Linked DNA regions of Diceros bicornis minor. The protein of the gene in region 2 interacts with the protein of the main gene of each other region in a pairwise test. Links are inferred from orthologs where the notes say so. Each region holds a gene or a part of one and is shown on either strand. Other genes may lie near its edges.

Region 1 (7,833 bases), on a different chromosome or scaffold from region 2:
AAGGAGATCAGATTCATCTTTAACTTTTAGCCCTCTCCTCTACTCCCCAATAAAACACCCTTTCTAGGACTCCTTTGCTTTCTTAGCTCCTTCAACTTTGGAAAAGCCCTTCTTATACCTTGTCCTCACCTTTCAGTAGCTTTTCTGCCAAATCCAACATGGCAGCTGAGCTGTCCACACACATATATTCACGTAGGCTCTGGCCCCAAGTACTATGAGCAGCCCTAAGATGGCAAAATATAAATCGCCAATTCTCATGACAATGAGTCATCCCTACAAGAGACCACTCCACCTCCAACCCCACCCCTGCTGAAACAGAGTGTTATGTTAAAATAGTTGGAAAAACTAACAATTTTCGTTTATAACTCCTTAAAAAAAAAAAGGCAGACTGAAAAAACTACTTGTAGGCAAAAAATTTTGATGATATGTAAAACCTACACCCTAGACTAAATTCTTTTCCTTTTTTATCTTTCTAAACATGCGTCTTTTTTACTTGACATTTCTTTTAAGCTCTGGCCCTAATCCATAATCTTACGCCTTGCCTAACATGAGGCAAGAAACATTCTAGTTCCCAACTTTCCTATTCTCCCTCTGGTTCCACAGTGTCTTGATACTGAAGTGGTGTAGGCATGGCTCTCCAGAGCTAGAATTGACAGAGAAAGATACTCACCAGGTGACAGAACCAGTACCCGAACCAAAGTCCATCAAGGTTTGTGGTTGGAACTCTGGAATTCGGGCCCGGATCTGAAGAAATATATAACACCCCACATTAGGGTAAATAGACACTTATTTAGAGCCTTGGTGAATATGAATTAGGGGACTACGATAGAGGAGATGCGACGTGAACGTGTTTTGAGATTCAATGTAAATACTTTATAGGATAGGAAGCTCCTAAAAGAGTGATTCTAAATCTTTCTTGGGTCACAAATCTTTTCAGAGGATAAAGAGGGCCTCTTTAAAGAAAGAAATGGACATGCAATGTCCCAAGAATCCTATCCCAGGAGACTACTTTATGAATCACGGAACTGATGGTAAAAGGGTTCAGGTTGAAGTTGAGGGACTTTCACCTCATGGAATGCCCTGGAGACTGCTGCAAAGCCACCATCCAGTCTTGCTGCCATGTACACCAGGCTCAGTCCCTCATTGTAGCTGCCAGGAAAATCAGAGAGTCATACCCACTGGAAAATAACTATCTATCCCATAGCTATCTTCTAGACTTTTAGGAAACGAAATCTTTGGAAAGGGCTCTTCCAATTCAACACTTTCACTCCTCAACAGAGAAGATTCTTGGGGAGCCTTACAAACCAGACAGCTTTTTCAAACACTAAACTGTGTAACTGTACTTCCCCAACTCTCCTTCTGAAGTCAAACTTTTCTTTCTTCTACAGCCCTTCTAGTCCCCCTTACCTCAGTTCTCGCCAGTGGTAGGTAGTTCTGCGCAGGGCATGCAGCACTGCTCCACAAAGTTTCTCCTCTGTCTGAGATGAGTCTGGGGTGAGAACAAGGACTGGAAGTGAGGACCTAGGAAGAACAGGGCTCAGATCCAGTATCTGAATATACTGCCTGCCCATTCCTCCCCAACTCCCACCAGGGAAAGCCTCAAAGCTTAGGAGAGAAGCCAAACCTAGAGAAAAAGTTCAGGTAAGAATAACGATGACTACCACCACCAACAGATTGCATCAGATAGTATTTTACCTCTACCAGCAGTTTATTCAACTCCATCAACCCTATCCCACAGGTTTTGTTCTTTATTCAAGGGAAGTATGGTAAAGAATCAAAGGATTGGATAAGGACAATATATTGTGGATTTCCTCCTTTCTCCCACACTTAAGATTGTGATGTCTCCAATGTTCCTATAGGGAGGAAAGGGGCTTGAAAATCTTAAGCCTCATGACCGTGTTCAGTTCAGTACTATTTTATCTACTGAGCACCTACTATGAACCAGGCACTGTGGGAAGTGCAGGGAATACAAGACGAAGAAAAAGTAGGTCTGTAATATGCAGGAGCTCACAATCATGAAAATAACTTGACAAATTATACTTAGTATTCTCCTATCCCTGAAGAGGGTTCCAGTACTGGACAGGGAGCCAAACAGGGACTTTATTTCACTTGAATAAAAACTTAGACGGTCCTAATCCAGCGGACTTGGAGGACACAAATAAACATCTAGATTTCAACAGGATACTGAAGCACTCGCTGACCTTTACCAAAGCCCCAAGGGCAATCTCTGAAATAATCTTTCTTCTCTTGATAAGACGTCATTGTAATAACTGCTCTGGCCAGAAAGTCAAGCAAGAAAACGCAGTATCTATTTGAGAGACGGTAATATTATTTCTTGCTCTTCACTTCTCACCGATATTTCAATTTGGCCTCTTTATTCTTAAGCCCTACCTGGGTTTTCCAAGAATTTTTTCTCAAGATGTACAGCCCGTCTTTGCAACTCCTCTGGCTCTATAGGTAAATGCCGGCTCCAGAGATAATTGGTCAGTGCTTGCACCTGCTTCTCCACATTGGGCATAGACCTCTCTACGGGCGAAAGATGAAAAGCGGCATCACTCGCGGGCAGCCCCAGTCTCCGCCTCTTCTCGAGCCTCCCTTTCCACCGTCACTCACCGAGCAGCAGTAACTGCGCGGCGTCAGCCAGGGCTTGCGGCAGCCGCACGCGCGGCAGCTGCAGGATGCCAGGGTGCCGGCGATGGGGCCTCTTCCCCAGAAAATCGGACTTGTTATCCACCTGGGATACGCCGGGCACGAGGGCGGCGAGAGCCTGCAGCCCGGGAAAAGAAAGCTGACTGCGAGGGGCAGAAGGCAAGGTTCTGGGCGTTCGCTTAGAGAGGAGCTGCCGAGAGCGCCTCCCAGAGATCCAGCGTCCCTCCGAGAACAGGGAAAAGCAGGCACTCACGCGAGACTGGGGAAGTACTCCAAGGCCGCGGCGCCATCTGCCTAATGTCTGCAGATACTTCAGTTCCAACGCGGTCGCCATGGCTCCCGAGGCGACCCGGAAACGGAAATGTAGGTGCCTGTGACCCTCGCGGGGACCATGCCCTGCGGAACAGCGGCACCGGGCAGTATTAGCCAATGAAGAGAGCCAGTGCTTGCTGGTAGCCAATAAACAATAGATATGTAAATCACCTTGCAGAGTAACTGTACATGGATCGGACTTGGACCTCGGTTCCCACGTAACTAGTCGCAAGCGAGGTGGCGTCGCGGCTGCGTTGGGACTGGTCTCCGGGTCCAGACATCGAGGGGGCGGGGCGGGGCGGGGTGGGGAAGGGCCCTTTCCTGGAGTCTCTAGAAAGGCGCCTTAGACAGGCAAAGACTATTTCTGGGTGTAATAATTACCTGAGCTCCTTGCTTTCACTACGGAGAACTCTGAAGCCTTGGAGTTTTTTTTCCCTTTGTGTAAAGAGTAGAATGGAGTAACGGAAAGATGAGATATGAAAAACCAGATTTAGGTGACCGAAGATAACAGAGATTTATAGTTAATAGAGTTAATGTTTTTTACATGTTAGTTTGTCTTCATATTAAACCGGCCCTCTTTGATAAATAGCTGACACTTAGAGCATTATGTGCCAGATACTGTGGCACGCACTTTTACGCAATATTACTCCATTTAGTCCCCACAATCCTATGAGGTAGATTCTGTTGTTAACCCCATTTTGCAGCTGAGAAAAGTGAGTCCTCAGGTGGTTAAATATCACGCCCAAGATCACAAAGCTTGTTAGGTGACAACTAGGTTTAAACCTAGGCAGTCTGAGTCTGAGCTTCACTTTTAAACATAAGTCCTACCTCACATTGTTGCTCCTTGGAATGCAAGTTAGCAAGTTAACTAAGAACAATATGCTAAATGTTCTGAAGTGTTCAGTTACCGTGTAGCATTAAAACAAACTCACTGTGTTGTAACCTGTTGATTCCTATAGCAAACACATTAGTCAACTCTGGTATATCTTAACCTTTTGAGATAGAAATCTGTTGGCTGGAAGGATAGAAGTGTTGTTGCCTTTGCTGTAACTGAAAGAGTCCAGATATGATAATTATAGATAGAATATGGGGAACTGTATCATTTGGAGAGTTAAATGTCTGGTTTGCATTTAGGTTATTAAGCTTTGATTCTAATAAAGGAGGTCTTTGCTTTATAATCTGAATACTCTGGAAGGAGACTTGAGGGGTGCTTAGGACAACTGTTGTAAATTCCCTACTCACTGCTCTCCTCCCTTTCAGGTTCACCTTCTTCATTTTGTTTCCCCACGCTTTGATTCACAGTGCTACACTTAGCCTCATGTCTGTGACACTTTGCTTTTACTTTAAATTGCTGGCTCAAGTATTAGCAAAATAAAATATCCCTGTCACTGTAGGTTAGCTGTAGCATAAGATTGGCTATGTTATTTTTTGTCATAGGGAGGTAGCAGAACATAGGGATAAGATGCTTGGCACCTGGAATCTGGCAGTTTGAATTTGAATTCTAGAGCAGCAAGATAATAATAGTTGCTACCTCATAGGGTTATTGGAATGATGATTTCATGAGCTAATGTCTGGCCCAAAGTAAATGCTCAATATATTTATGATATTGTTATCATATATGTGATCATGTATTTTGGGAACTTGAAGGGACATAATCACATTTTTATTTATTTATTTATTTTATTTATTTATTTTTTTCCCCCAAAGCCCCAGTAGATAGTTGTATGTCATAGCTGCACATCCTTCTAGTTGCTGTATGTGGGACGCAGCCTCAGCATGGCCAGAGAAGCGGTGCGTCGGTGTGCACCTGGGATCCAAACCTGGGCCGCCAGCAGCGGAGCGCGCTCACTTAACCGCTAAGCCTCGGGGCTGGCCCCACATTTTAATTTTTATTATAAATTTATGTTTTATTTCCAAGACAGACTTGAAAGTGGGGATATTTGGGGCCAAGTAAGACTGAGCAGTGGAGACTGAGGAGTAAGGAGCAGGAGAACTTGGGTGGTGCCTCTGAATGTCCGTCTTGTTTTTCCCATCAAGCTGCCAACATAGCTGTGGCCTCCTTCATTCTAGCACTGGCCTAATTGGGATTGTTCTCTTCCTTTGGTAATACAACATCTCAAAAGCTGACTTAGACCTAATTTTAAGTGTCTTTGTTCTTAATCCAAAGTATTGTTCATAAAAACAAAAGAAAACAAAAACGTCCACACCATCTTCCTCATAGATCAAAGATGTCCTCAAGACATCTAAAACAGTGAACACAATTCTTGGTGCATTGAAAATGCTTAATCAATATTTGTTGATTATGTTGATAAAATGACCCCTCTTTGTTTTCATGCTTGGAAAAGGTCAGCAGAATAGACTAGTTTGAGGATCTGAGTCTAATCGTTTGACCAGGTCACAATTCCCCAAATGCATAGATGAGCCCATTTCACACCTAATCCGTGAATTCTGCCATGTTAGCATTGGTCATACCTTGACTTGGGTAGTATTTCCAATTAGTGGCTCTACGTTAAAAGAAACAGACATAAATGTGGAGAAAATAGACAATATTAAGAGAAATAACCCCCACCCCCAAATTAAGTAAGGGAAAATAAAAAAGATTCTCTGAGGAAGATTTGGATAATCTGGTTGGAGATGGATGATGACCAACTGGTTTTCTCCACTGAGTTCATGAAAAAGGGAAATAACTAATAATTAGATTCAGAGAAACTCTCAACAATGAAGGTGTAAAGCAACTGCAATAAGTTTCTTGGGAAATTAAAGAAATTCTGCCATCAAAGATCCCAAATAGTATCCTTTTTATCTCCTGCTTCATTTCTTTTTGTTATTTTCCTTTTTTTAAATCTTCTATTCTCTTATGGCATTATGTTGTGTTTGTGTTGGTGTATTTTCTAGGTTGGTCTTTATCTTCTTTTTTTTTTTTTGTGAGGAAGACCAGCCCTAAGCTAACATCCAATGCCAATCTTCCTCTTTTTTTTTTGCTGAGGAAGACTGGCCCTGGGCTAACATCCATGCCCATCTTCCTCCACTTTATATGGGATGCCGCCACCGCATGGCTTGACAAGCGGTGTGTTGGTGCATGCCCGGGATCTGAACCTGTGAACCCTGGGCCGCTGCAGCGAGCGTGCGCACTTAACCGCTGCGCCACCAGGCTGGCCCCCAGTCTTTATCTTCTAAAGGATTTTACTTTTATTTGTAACTTCTCCTGAATGTGTCACCTTTTTTTCTGAGTTTTTTTCTAATTTTGATGCTTATTGTTCTTTCATGTCTTGGATTATTTTCTTAGCTTTTTTTGAAACCATGGATTACAGTTTTAATCTGTTTTGTGGACATGTCTGTGTTAGTTTAGGTTCTTGGCGAAGCAGACATTAAGATGGGATTCGATTTGTAAGACACGTATTGGGCGAAATGCCTGTGAGGGGGAAAGAGAGGGGGAGAAGAAGAGATAGGAAGAGCTGTCAGACTGTGAAGCAGGTCTGACCTCTGTGAAAGACAGAGGGAACGAAAACACGTTGGATAGGCACAGTTCTAAAAAAGTTTCAACCAGGCTGATGGAGAGTCTTTGAGCCCAAGGTGGCTGTTGGAGGAGTCTTGCATCTCTTGGAAATGGGCCTGACTTAGTATCTCTGCTGCACTCAGTCATCTTTTAAGAGCAGCCCATGGGAGGCAGAGCAGATTCACCAGTGTGGCAGTTAGGGCCATTGGTCAGTTATGATCCCCCCAGCAGGAGATCTGAATAGTGCATTTTCATAGCTGCCCTAAAGCCACACAAATCTACTTCTCCAGATAGGTTCAAGGGACAATTCCTTCAAGCTTCATATGGGCTTCTGTTCCTGAAGGGAAATATAGAAGAAGGAGGTTAGTGGGACAAACTATAGCCACTGTCACTGCATTTGATCCCAGGGCTGTAACTGGCACCCATCCTCTCCCTCCTTTACTATCCATTCTAATTTCCTCTTACCCTCAGCTATCATGTCATTATGTCTTAGTGACTTATCTGGTGTTGTGACCCAAACCTTCCTTCTTGAGGGGTCTAAACCCTTGATAGTCATATCTTTCTCTGGCTAAGGTTGCTACAAATGTACATTCACAGTTACAGTGGAGCATGGGAATTCCAGGAAGCACCCAAGTAGATCACTTGGGTTCCACATGAATTCCTCTCTGCCCCCATTGTGTAAAAGCAGCCTGCCTCCTCCTGCTGATTAGGGTTACTTAGCCCTGACATATGGTAACTCCTCTTTTCATCTGCTGGTCCCTAGACCCAAGAAATCCAAAGTGTCCTGGCAGCAGTTATAGACTGTAGTTCAATGGGAGCCTTGATATGTCACCTGGCAAGAGAGCATCCCCTTTGGGGACCTAGACCTTTGACTCAGCAGAGCCCAGAGTTACAGAGATGAAAGCACAGATTTTTCCAGTGGGTCAATGGTAGTGACGGTAAGTGGAGCCATTCCTGCCTCTACTCTTTGGTTGCTGAGTCATGTATTCTTCCTATTGGGGACACAGTACTATTCAGAGGTCTCTGGTTTAATAAATACACTGCATCCTGAAATGTGGTACTCCTTCCTTTCAGAATGTTGCCTCTGAGCTGTTGCTTCAGCTGTGTCTTCAGAAAGCCAGTCTGTCTCTCTCCCTACCTCCCTTTGTCCCTCCCTCCTTTCTTTCCCTCCTTCTCCACCTCCTCCTCCTCCTTCTTCTCCTTATTTTCTCTTTCTCTCTCTCTCTGAGCTGGAGCAGCCTGCTCCTTCTCCTTTGTTCTGAAGTAAACACCAATCAACTTTTCCCATTAGTCCTCTACATTCTTCCAGAGGTCATTGATATTATTGATGTACCTTCAACAGAAATTAGGAGAGTGCTTCTGAACTGTGATTAAAT
Region 2 (7,347 bases):
GGGATGCCATCGAGGCCGCGGTGGCACACCACACAGGTGAAGCAGCCAGGATGGTAGGCCTTCCCCATAGCCCGCAGGATCCGGTCTAGGATGGGTTGGGAGCATGTGGAGCACTTCTCCAGGGTGGCCTGTTGGGAAGGAAGGGAGGAAGGTTGAGGGCTGGGGTGACCCATGGCAGCCCCACAAGCATCCTGCCAGCCCAACCATCTGTTCGTGTATCCACCTGCGTGCGATTCAGTGAAAGGTGGCAAGTCTCAGCAATGCAGCTTCATGGACAAGTTATTTAACCACTCTGAGCTTCAGTTTCCTTCAGTAGTAATATCTGCCTCACAGGGGTATGGTGGGAATTTAACACTTTCCTTAACTCTAAAATAAATGCCTCACACTTGTAAAGGGACTGTGGTCCTTCCCTCCAGCAGGCAGTATTTAGCTACTTAAGTCCTCCATTCTTCTTGTACATCAGTTTTAGTCCCCTACCTTCGAGTCCTGTTCCTCTTTGGGGCTTGGACATCTAGTTCCCACCTTGGATGGAAGCCCCCCACCCCAACCACTCACCACGTAGCAGCTCTCACAATATGCCCTCCTCTCCACAGCATAGAAATGCTGGCCCCGAAGATGGGCCCGGCACGTAGAACACACAAAGCAGCCAACGTGAAAGACGCGGTCCAGGGCCACAACCCCAGCCCCATCCCCAACCACATCTTCTCCGCAGCCGCCACACCGGCCTGGGGACAGGGAGGGACAGGGTCAATCTGCACAAGCTAGGAAGCTGGATCGGCTGTCCCTCTGACTCTCTAGCCCCACCTCCCCCTTCCCACCCCACCGGTGGGGTCAGCTCACCGAAGTACTCCCCGCTGGGCGGGTGGTTCATGTCATGCACCAGCTTCTTGGTCAGCCTCTCAAGCTCCTCCTCGGGAGGCTGGCTCAGGGGCACCTGGGAAGTGAGAATCAGGGGTTCGGCCCTACCTCTAGCTCCTGACCCTGTGAAAATCGCTGAGGGTGACCAGGCAGTTCTGCCCAGAAAGCTCATCTGAGAACGTCTCAGCCCAGCGTCCAGGCGGCACACCTCGGGGAGCCAGGGTACAGCTCCAGTCCCCTCCGTCCTGTACTTCCTGACCTGCCCACACTCTCCGGGGATCTAGAGCTCCGACACCTCAGACCTCTGACAACCAGGACATTAAACACCACTCCTCACCCCGCCCAATCAGTGTCCAGTTGTCTGTGAGGACCCCAAACCCCATACACGGTGCTTACCGGGGGCCCATACCCGCCTCCTCTTCCTCCTCCTGCATGGCCAGAGACCCCGGCAGCCTCCTCTTCACTTCCCGGCCCTGGCTCTCGGTGGCTCCTATAGCCAGGCCCCCAGACTTCACCTCGGCCTGGGAGAGGAAAGTGGGGGCCCGGCAGGGACCCGGAGGCCTGAGAGGCCCCCCGCCTGGGGGGGCCACAGCCTTTCACTGGTTGTGCCACCTTCACTTGCACAGGGAAGGCAGGGCCGGCGGGCGTGCTTGCTGTTGTGTAGGAGGCCGGAGTGGGGCCCCCGTAAGTGGATGCTGGGAGCGGTGGGGAAGGAACACCCCCTCCATTCGGCTTCAGGGAGCCCACGCGGTAGGCAGGGGGCTGAGGGGGCTCATAAGCCTGAGGAGAAACGCAGACCAGGAGTGAGCTGGGCCCATTCAGGACACACACCTGTGGAAATGCCCCACCCATGTGTGTGGCACCCAGGTAAGTGCTGGTTTTTGACAACGGCCCGCCTTCAAGTGGCTGACAACCTAGCAAGCTCTGGTGGCCCAGCTTCTTCCACAAGGTAGAGGTGAGGGGTGGACTGGGTTGAGAATCCAGAGAAGGGACCAGGCTAGGGGGGCGGGTGGGGGGACAGGGGACAGGGAGCAGAGGAGGGACGGGGCAGGACAGGGGGTCACCTGCCGGTCAGGCTGCCGTGGGGCATGACCACGACCCCCATCCAGCTCAGCCAGCATGCTGGTCAGCGAATCTATCTCAGCATCCAGACTTCCTGGGCGCAAGCCCCCTCTGTCTGGGGGGAGCCCCTGAGGATGGAGCAGAAGCAGGGAGAAGCAAATCACACGGCCCTCTTCTCCTGCCCTGCCCTCACCCCCCCATCCCGGTTCTCACCTGTGAACGCTGGGGTGCTCCATGGCACCCCACCCAGGCCAGCCCCCGATCCTCTGGTCCCCCTGGGGCCTGGTAACACTGCTCAGATGGGAGACGGCAAAAATTGACCCTGGGGTGGGACTGGAGTGCTGCGGTGAGGGAAGAGAGAGGAAGGGTAGATGGGGAAGGAGACGAGGGTGACACTTGTGGAGGACGCCCTCTTAGGTCCCTCGTCTCCCCTCCCCCTCACCCCCCCCCTCCCGCACCTGGGCTCCGAGAATGGGACAGGAGGTGGGGAGGGCTGCGAGAGGGCAGGGGCGGCTAGTCCCAGCCTGGCTCCGGGGAAGGGGCGGCTGGGCAGGCTGGGCAGGAGGCAGGAGCCTCAGGGCAGAGGTGGCCTCCTGGGCCCACTGGGGACTGCCTTACCTGCTCCGGGGGCTGGTGGCGGCCCCGGGGCGCCCCGGGGGAGCACTCTCCCCTGAGGGGCTCTGACGGGCTCCAGCTGCTTCGGGGGGAGCCAGGTGGGCCCCGACATGGCCTGGAACGGGGGACCTCCAGACCGCGGTCAGGGCCTCACGGAGCCCTGAGCCTCTGGCCTTGACCCCTTCTTCCGTCCCTCGTTTGGGACTCCAGGAAAGAAACTTTTTCTGGCTTTTTTTCCTCTTCCTCCCCAATTTTGGGGATGGCCACGCCCCCTGTGACATCATCGCATTCCTGGGGGAGGGTCACGTGGCCCCCTAGGCCCTAAACTGCTGTCCCTCCCTAGTCAGCCCCCTCCTGCTGAGCGGGGAGGGCTTTCCGCGGAGCCGGCGTCTGGGAGGCTGCAGGCAGCCTCCATTTCCCCGAGTCCCCCAGGCCCTGCGCCCCGCGCCCCAGGTCCTGCCCATGGCCACCTCGACGCTGGGACGCTCTGGCGCTCCTCTTTCCCACATCCCCCCATACAGATGTCTCCCTCCTCCCGTCCCATCTACCCACCCCCCAGCAGTGCTCCGCCAGCCCGTAGTGTTTTGGTCTTTTATTCACGTTCAGCAGTTAGAAAAATAAAACAGAACACAAATATCACAACCTCAGGGGTCAGTGAGTCTGTTGGGTGAGGGGGAGACTGAGGTAGCCTGAAGTCACGAGCGGAGACCCAGCCCCGGACAAGGCACCGGTGAAGGGAGGGAGGCTGACGTGGCCAGACAGCTGCCCTGCACGCGTGCACCAGGGCCCCTCTCCCAGAGACAGCAGATGCCGCAGATCAGGATCACCTAATACCTCCACCTGGCTCCGTGTACCACGTGTGGGGCAGGCGGGGAGGCGGCCCTTCTCCTCCTCATCTGCTACTCAAGGTGGGCCTCCCGGCCTGGGCACCCTCTGCTTTAGGGATGGGGCATCAGAGATCAGTACAAGTGACGGGGGTGACGCCATGAATGAGCAGCGTGGGGCCCAGATCACGGCTCAGAATCTCCAGGAGCGCCAGGTATCGGGGGTATCGGGCAGAATCAGCAGGCGGCCGAGGCAGGTACAGGAAGGTGAGGGCAGTGGCAGGCCCCTCCACACCATTCCCACCCTCAGGCCCACCTGGCCCTCCTCCTCTGCCATGCGCCTGCTGGGCCCGAACCAGGGCGTTGGCGCTGCATGCCAGGGCCTCTGCCTCCGCGTCTCCCCGCCCACTGTTCACGAAGTCCCCTTCCTCCTCCTCCTCAGGCTGCCCGGACCCAGCCCCCTCGCCCCACACTACCTCCTGCACCTCAGCCCGGATCCTCAGCTGGCTCAGCAGTGCCCTGAGCCGCCCCTCGGCCGCCCCAGGGGCCTCCCGAGGCCCCAGGCACAAGAAGATCCGGAGCCGGGCACTGTGCCAAGCAGGCACCATGCCCAAGATGGTTGCCATCTGCAGCAGGAAAAGGCCGCAGACGTCTACATAGCCAGGCCCACCCCGGGGCCGCAGCAGGTTGAGGGGCCACACGTCCACGTGATGCGGCTGAGAGGTGCCCCCAGACCCCCGGCTCAGCCGCTCAGGGGGCAGGGCGCCACAGGCCCGGGCCAGGACCACATTCTTGTTCATCTTGAGGGCATCTGCCACCGTGGCCACATAGTCCTGGGGAGTGAGAGCCCGAGGGCTCCCAGGAGCCCGGGGAGGAGGGAACAGGGTGCTCAAGGCTGGGGTCCCGCCCTCCTGGGTGCCACCTGCAGGCTCAGAGAAAGCCGGGTCTGTCAGGAAGTGGTCCTGCGGTGCAGCATCATCATAGAAACCCAGGACCAGTGTGTTGGGCTTCATGCCACCTGGGGGCAGATAGGGGGAGGAGGGAAGGAACCAACAGGAGTCACACTCACAGGCAGAGACTGCCCCACGCTCATCCCTGCCCACTCCTACACGCTGACAAGGAAATGTGTCAGCCGTCAGGTATGAGATTCGCACCGGGCCTGGTCTCTTAAGGCAACATTATGCACATTTGCATGATGACTTTTCATTTTCCCAAACACTTGCACATGCATTTATTCGATTTACCTCCATGACTAATCTCCCCCACTTAAATAAGCAGAGGCCACCTTGGGATTCTTTTAACTAATGAGCACTTCCGGTCCATGGCAGTCAGATGCATTTGCTCCAAGCTTCTCCCAGCACACCTTTTTCATGATGGGAGATGAGTTTGACTCCCGGGGGCAGACCAGACCCCCTGATTAGTCAAGCTCATGGCCTCAATCCCCAGGGAGACAGCACCCGGATTCTGCTGGGGAAGGATGAGAACTCGGGCTGGGGCTGCACAATGCTTCCATGACTGCAAAGCCCTAATGATGGTGGGTCCAAAGCACCGTCCCCAGAGAAGAGACAGTTAACATCTGCCCACTAACCGGGGGCCACATGCTGTTGAAAGAAAGCACTTCGTGTTTTAACTCATCTGATCCTTGAAGCAACGCCACGAGGTAGGGACTATTTACTTCAACCCCTTCTACAGATAAGGCACAGAGCGGTGAAGTCACTTGCCCAAGGGCTCAGGGCTGGTAAATATGGGGTCGGCAGGTGAGCACAATGTGCCCAGCACCAGAACACACTCTCTGAGCCTCTAAGCTGGTGTGTGTACCAACCACAATGCCCCAGTCCCTGCCAGCAGCCGCTGGTTTTTAATTTTTGGATAACCTATATGGAATCAGATAATTCCCTCTTTAAAGGGCTGCATGTACAAGAAGGTGCTGAGACCTCTTCTGAGACTCCTTCTCGTGAAACAAATGGGTTGCTTAAAATCTACCAGGAAATCAAATTTTACTTGCCAGGCAAATTTACTATTTAGAGAAAACCTTTTCTGTTTTATTTGAATCGTTTCCCACAGGATACATTTCATGAAAGTAGTGGTTTGTTTGCACAGGTTTCCCCAAAAAAGGTGGGGCTGAGGAGAGACCAGGCCTTCAGGTGCTCCAGGGTCTGTCTAATAATGCTGGAAAACAACCCAAAACACCTCAGCAGGTGTGAACTCCAGCTGATCTTGCAAAGTAAGCTAGTTATACCCCCTCCTGAGCATTTTCCACGGTTCTGATTTACACCGAACAGGGCAATGTCCAACACTTGAACTTTAGCCAGATTCTAAATGGAGAAGGCAGCATGCACTCAGAGAGGGATTAAGAGAGAAGGAGGCAGCTAAGCACAGATCTGGAGGAAGCCTGGGTGCAAGGTGGGAGGCCTCAGTACTAAGACGCAGTCACAAAGCTGGGAATCCTCCACTCCATCCAAACGCATCAGCCCCATGCATCCCCCACATCCTCTGTGGTCTCTGGGGGCCATGTTACATCACTCTCTACTTCTCCACCCCTTCTAAGGCCCAGCTGAGACACCATCTTGTCACAAAACCTTTGCTGGCCACGTCAGCACATGGTGAGCTTCCTTTCTCTGAACTCGGGTGGTTAGAAACCTTCTGTCCTAGATTTGATGGGGCAGCCCCCAGGCTCAAATAATTCTCCCATTGTCCCCAGAAATACAACATGCTCTTCAGAGCCTGTGCCCCAATTTTTGGATCAGAAAAAAATAACAGTTGCCCCATCTTGAGTCCTTAAGCATCTCCTCTGAGGTTTTATCACACACTGTCTGTTAGCTTTGAGGCTGTGTCTTATCTGCACTCGACAGTGAGTACCTTTTGGAGTCTGCAATCTGTGGTTTATTCTCTGGGGGAGGGGAACAGATTGAAAGGGGCCACACAGAGGCCCTAGGGGGCCGGGGGAAGGAGCAGCTCACCAAGGCCCGAGATCCGCAGCAGATGCTGAGCTCCCTGGCGCACGGAGGGCGAGAGGGTGAGGTCCACGAAGGCCTTCACTTGGGCCCGGTCCACCAGGCTCAGCCATGCCCCGTACTGCGGCTGCACAGGGTCCGAGGGCAGGCAGTCTGCGGGGAAGGCAGGCAGCAAATGTGGGCCAAACTCATGTACTTTCTCCTAGAGTTCAAATCCCAAATGGGCAGAAGAAAAAGGTCTAGGCAGGGCTGAGGCTGGCTGGAAGGATCGTTCGGGAAGAACCACGAGCCTCTGGGACACAGAACCCAAAGAGCGTCTGAGACTGAGAGGGAGAAGAGGAGTGGGGGGCAACTCACCGAGGTCTCCCAGGGTGACGTGGCCCAGCACGTAGAGGCCCCCCTTCTTGAGCTGGTTGGCCAACCGCAGCAGAGGCAGGGCACCCCGGGGGTTCCCCACCAGGAGCAGCAGCTGGGGCCGCCAGAACTTCACGTGATCCTTCCGGACATCCAGCCGGAGCAGGTACTTACGCACCTGGGGACAGGAGTGGGGTGGTGGGGAGGAAGGGCTCAAGCAGGCGGCCCCCACTCAACACTTCTCAGACAGGAACCCCAGCTCCAGCCAAGGGAATGGGAGGCCTCCTTCAGGGGTGGGCATTCCCAGACTGCCTCCTCCCCTCCCCACCCTCCTCCAAGCCCCCTTGACCTGGTGGAAAAGCAACGCCTGGCTGACGTAGCCCCAGCTGCTGGGGCCTCCTCGAGCCGTGAGCAGGGCGGAAAGCAGGCCCATGAGAAGCAGGGAGCCGCCAGCAGCCCCGGGGCTGATAAGAAACATCATGAGCAGACAGGAGGCCACCCCCAGCAAGCAGGTGTGCCAGGAGAACAGGCTGAAGGTGGGGCTGGGAGTGGACGGAGAGAAGGAAGGAAACTCAGGGCCTGAACACCATGCCACTCCACTCCAACCCCAGCCTCGCCCTCTCGTCCGTGTCCTTCCCATTCCTTTCTCTTTTTCTCTGGGGACACAGGCATCTTATTCT

Evidence for each region. The genes of interacting proteins can lie anywhere in the genome.
Region 1: the proteins of TRIP6 (region 2) and METTL17 interact in binary tests that used the Homo sapiens proteins (3 or more experiments, as listed by UniProt). The link is inferred for Diceros bicornis minor from reciprocal best matches to the Homo sapiens genes TRIP6 and METTL17.

The regions. Positions count from the first base shown.
Region 1 is NC_080744.1:28,280,925-28,288,757, forward strand, and holds the start of METTL17 (methyltransferase-like protein 17, mitochondrial), read right to left. Parts: upstream 3,010-7,833; 5' UTR 2,984-3,009; coding exon 2,903-2,983; intron 2,768-2,902; coding exon 2,614-2,767; intron 2,527-2,613; coding exon 2,392-2,526; intron 1,490-2,391; coding exon 1,408-1,489; intron 1,150-1,407; coding exon 1,068-1,149; intron 745-1,067; coding exon 671-744; intron 225-670; coding exon 130-224; intron 1-129. UniProt on the Homo sapiens protein: Mitochondrial ribosome (mitoribosome) assembly factor. Binds at the interface of the head and body domains of the mitochondrial small ribosomal subunit (mt-SSU), occluding the mRNA channel and preventing compaction of the head domain towards the body.
Region 2 is NC_080765.1:5,033,894-5,041,240, forward strand, and holds the start of TRIP6 (thyroid receptor-interacting protein 6), read right to left. Parts: upstream 3,018-7,347; 5' UTR 2,648-3,017; coding exon 2,539-2,647; intron 2,262-2,538; coding exon 2,134-2,261; intron 2,049-2,133; coding exon 1,923-2,048; intron 1,639-1,922; coding exon 1,255-1,638; intron 935-1,254; coding exon 841-934; intron 726-840; coding exon 556-725; intron 129-555; coding exon 1-128. Other genes in the region: SLC12A9 (solute carrier family 12 member 9), read right to left, coding at 3,488-4,377, 6,320-6,466, 6,671-6,845, 7,017-7,209. UniProt on the Homo sapiens protein: Relays signals from the cell surface to the nucleus to weaken adherens junction and promote actin cytoskeleton reorganization and cell invasiveness. Involved in lysophosphatidic acid-induced cell adhesion and migration.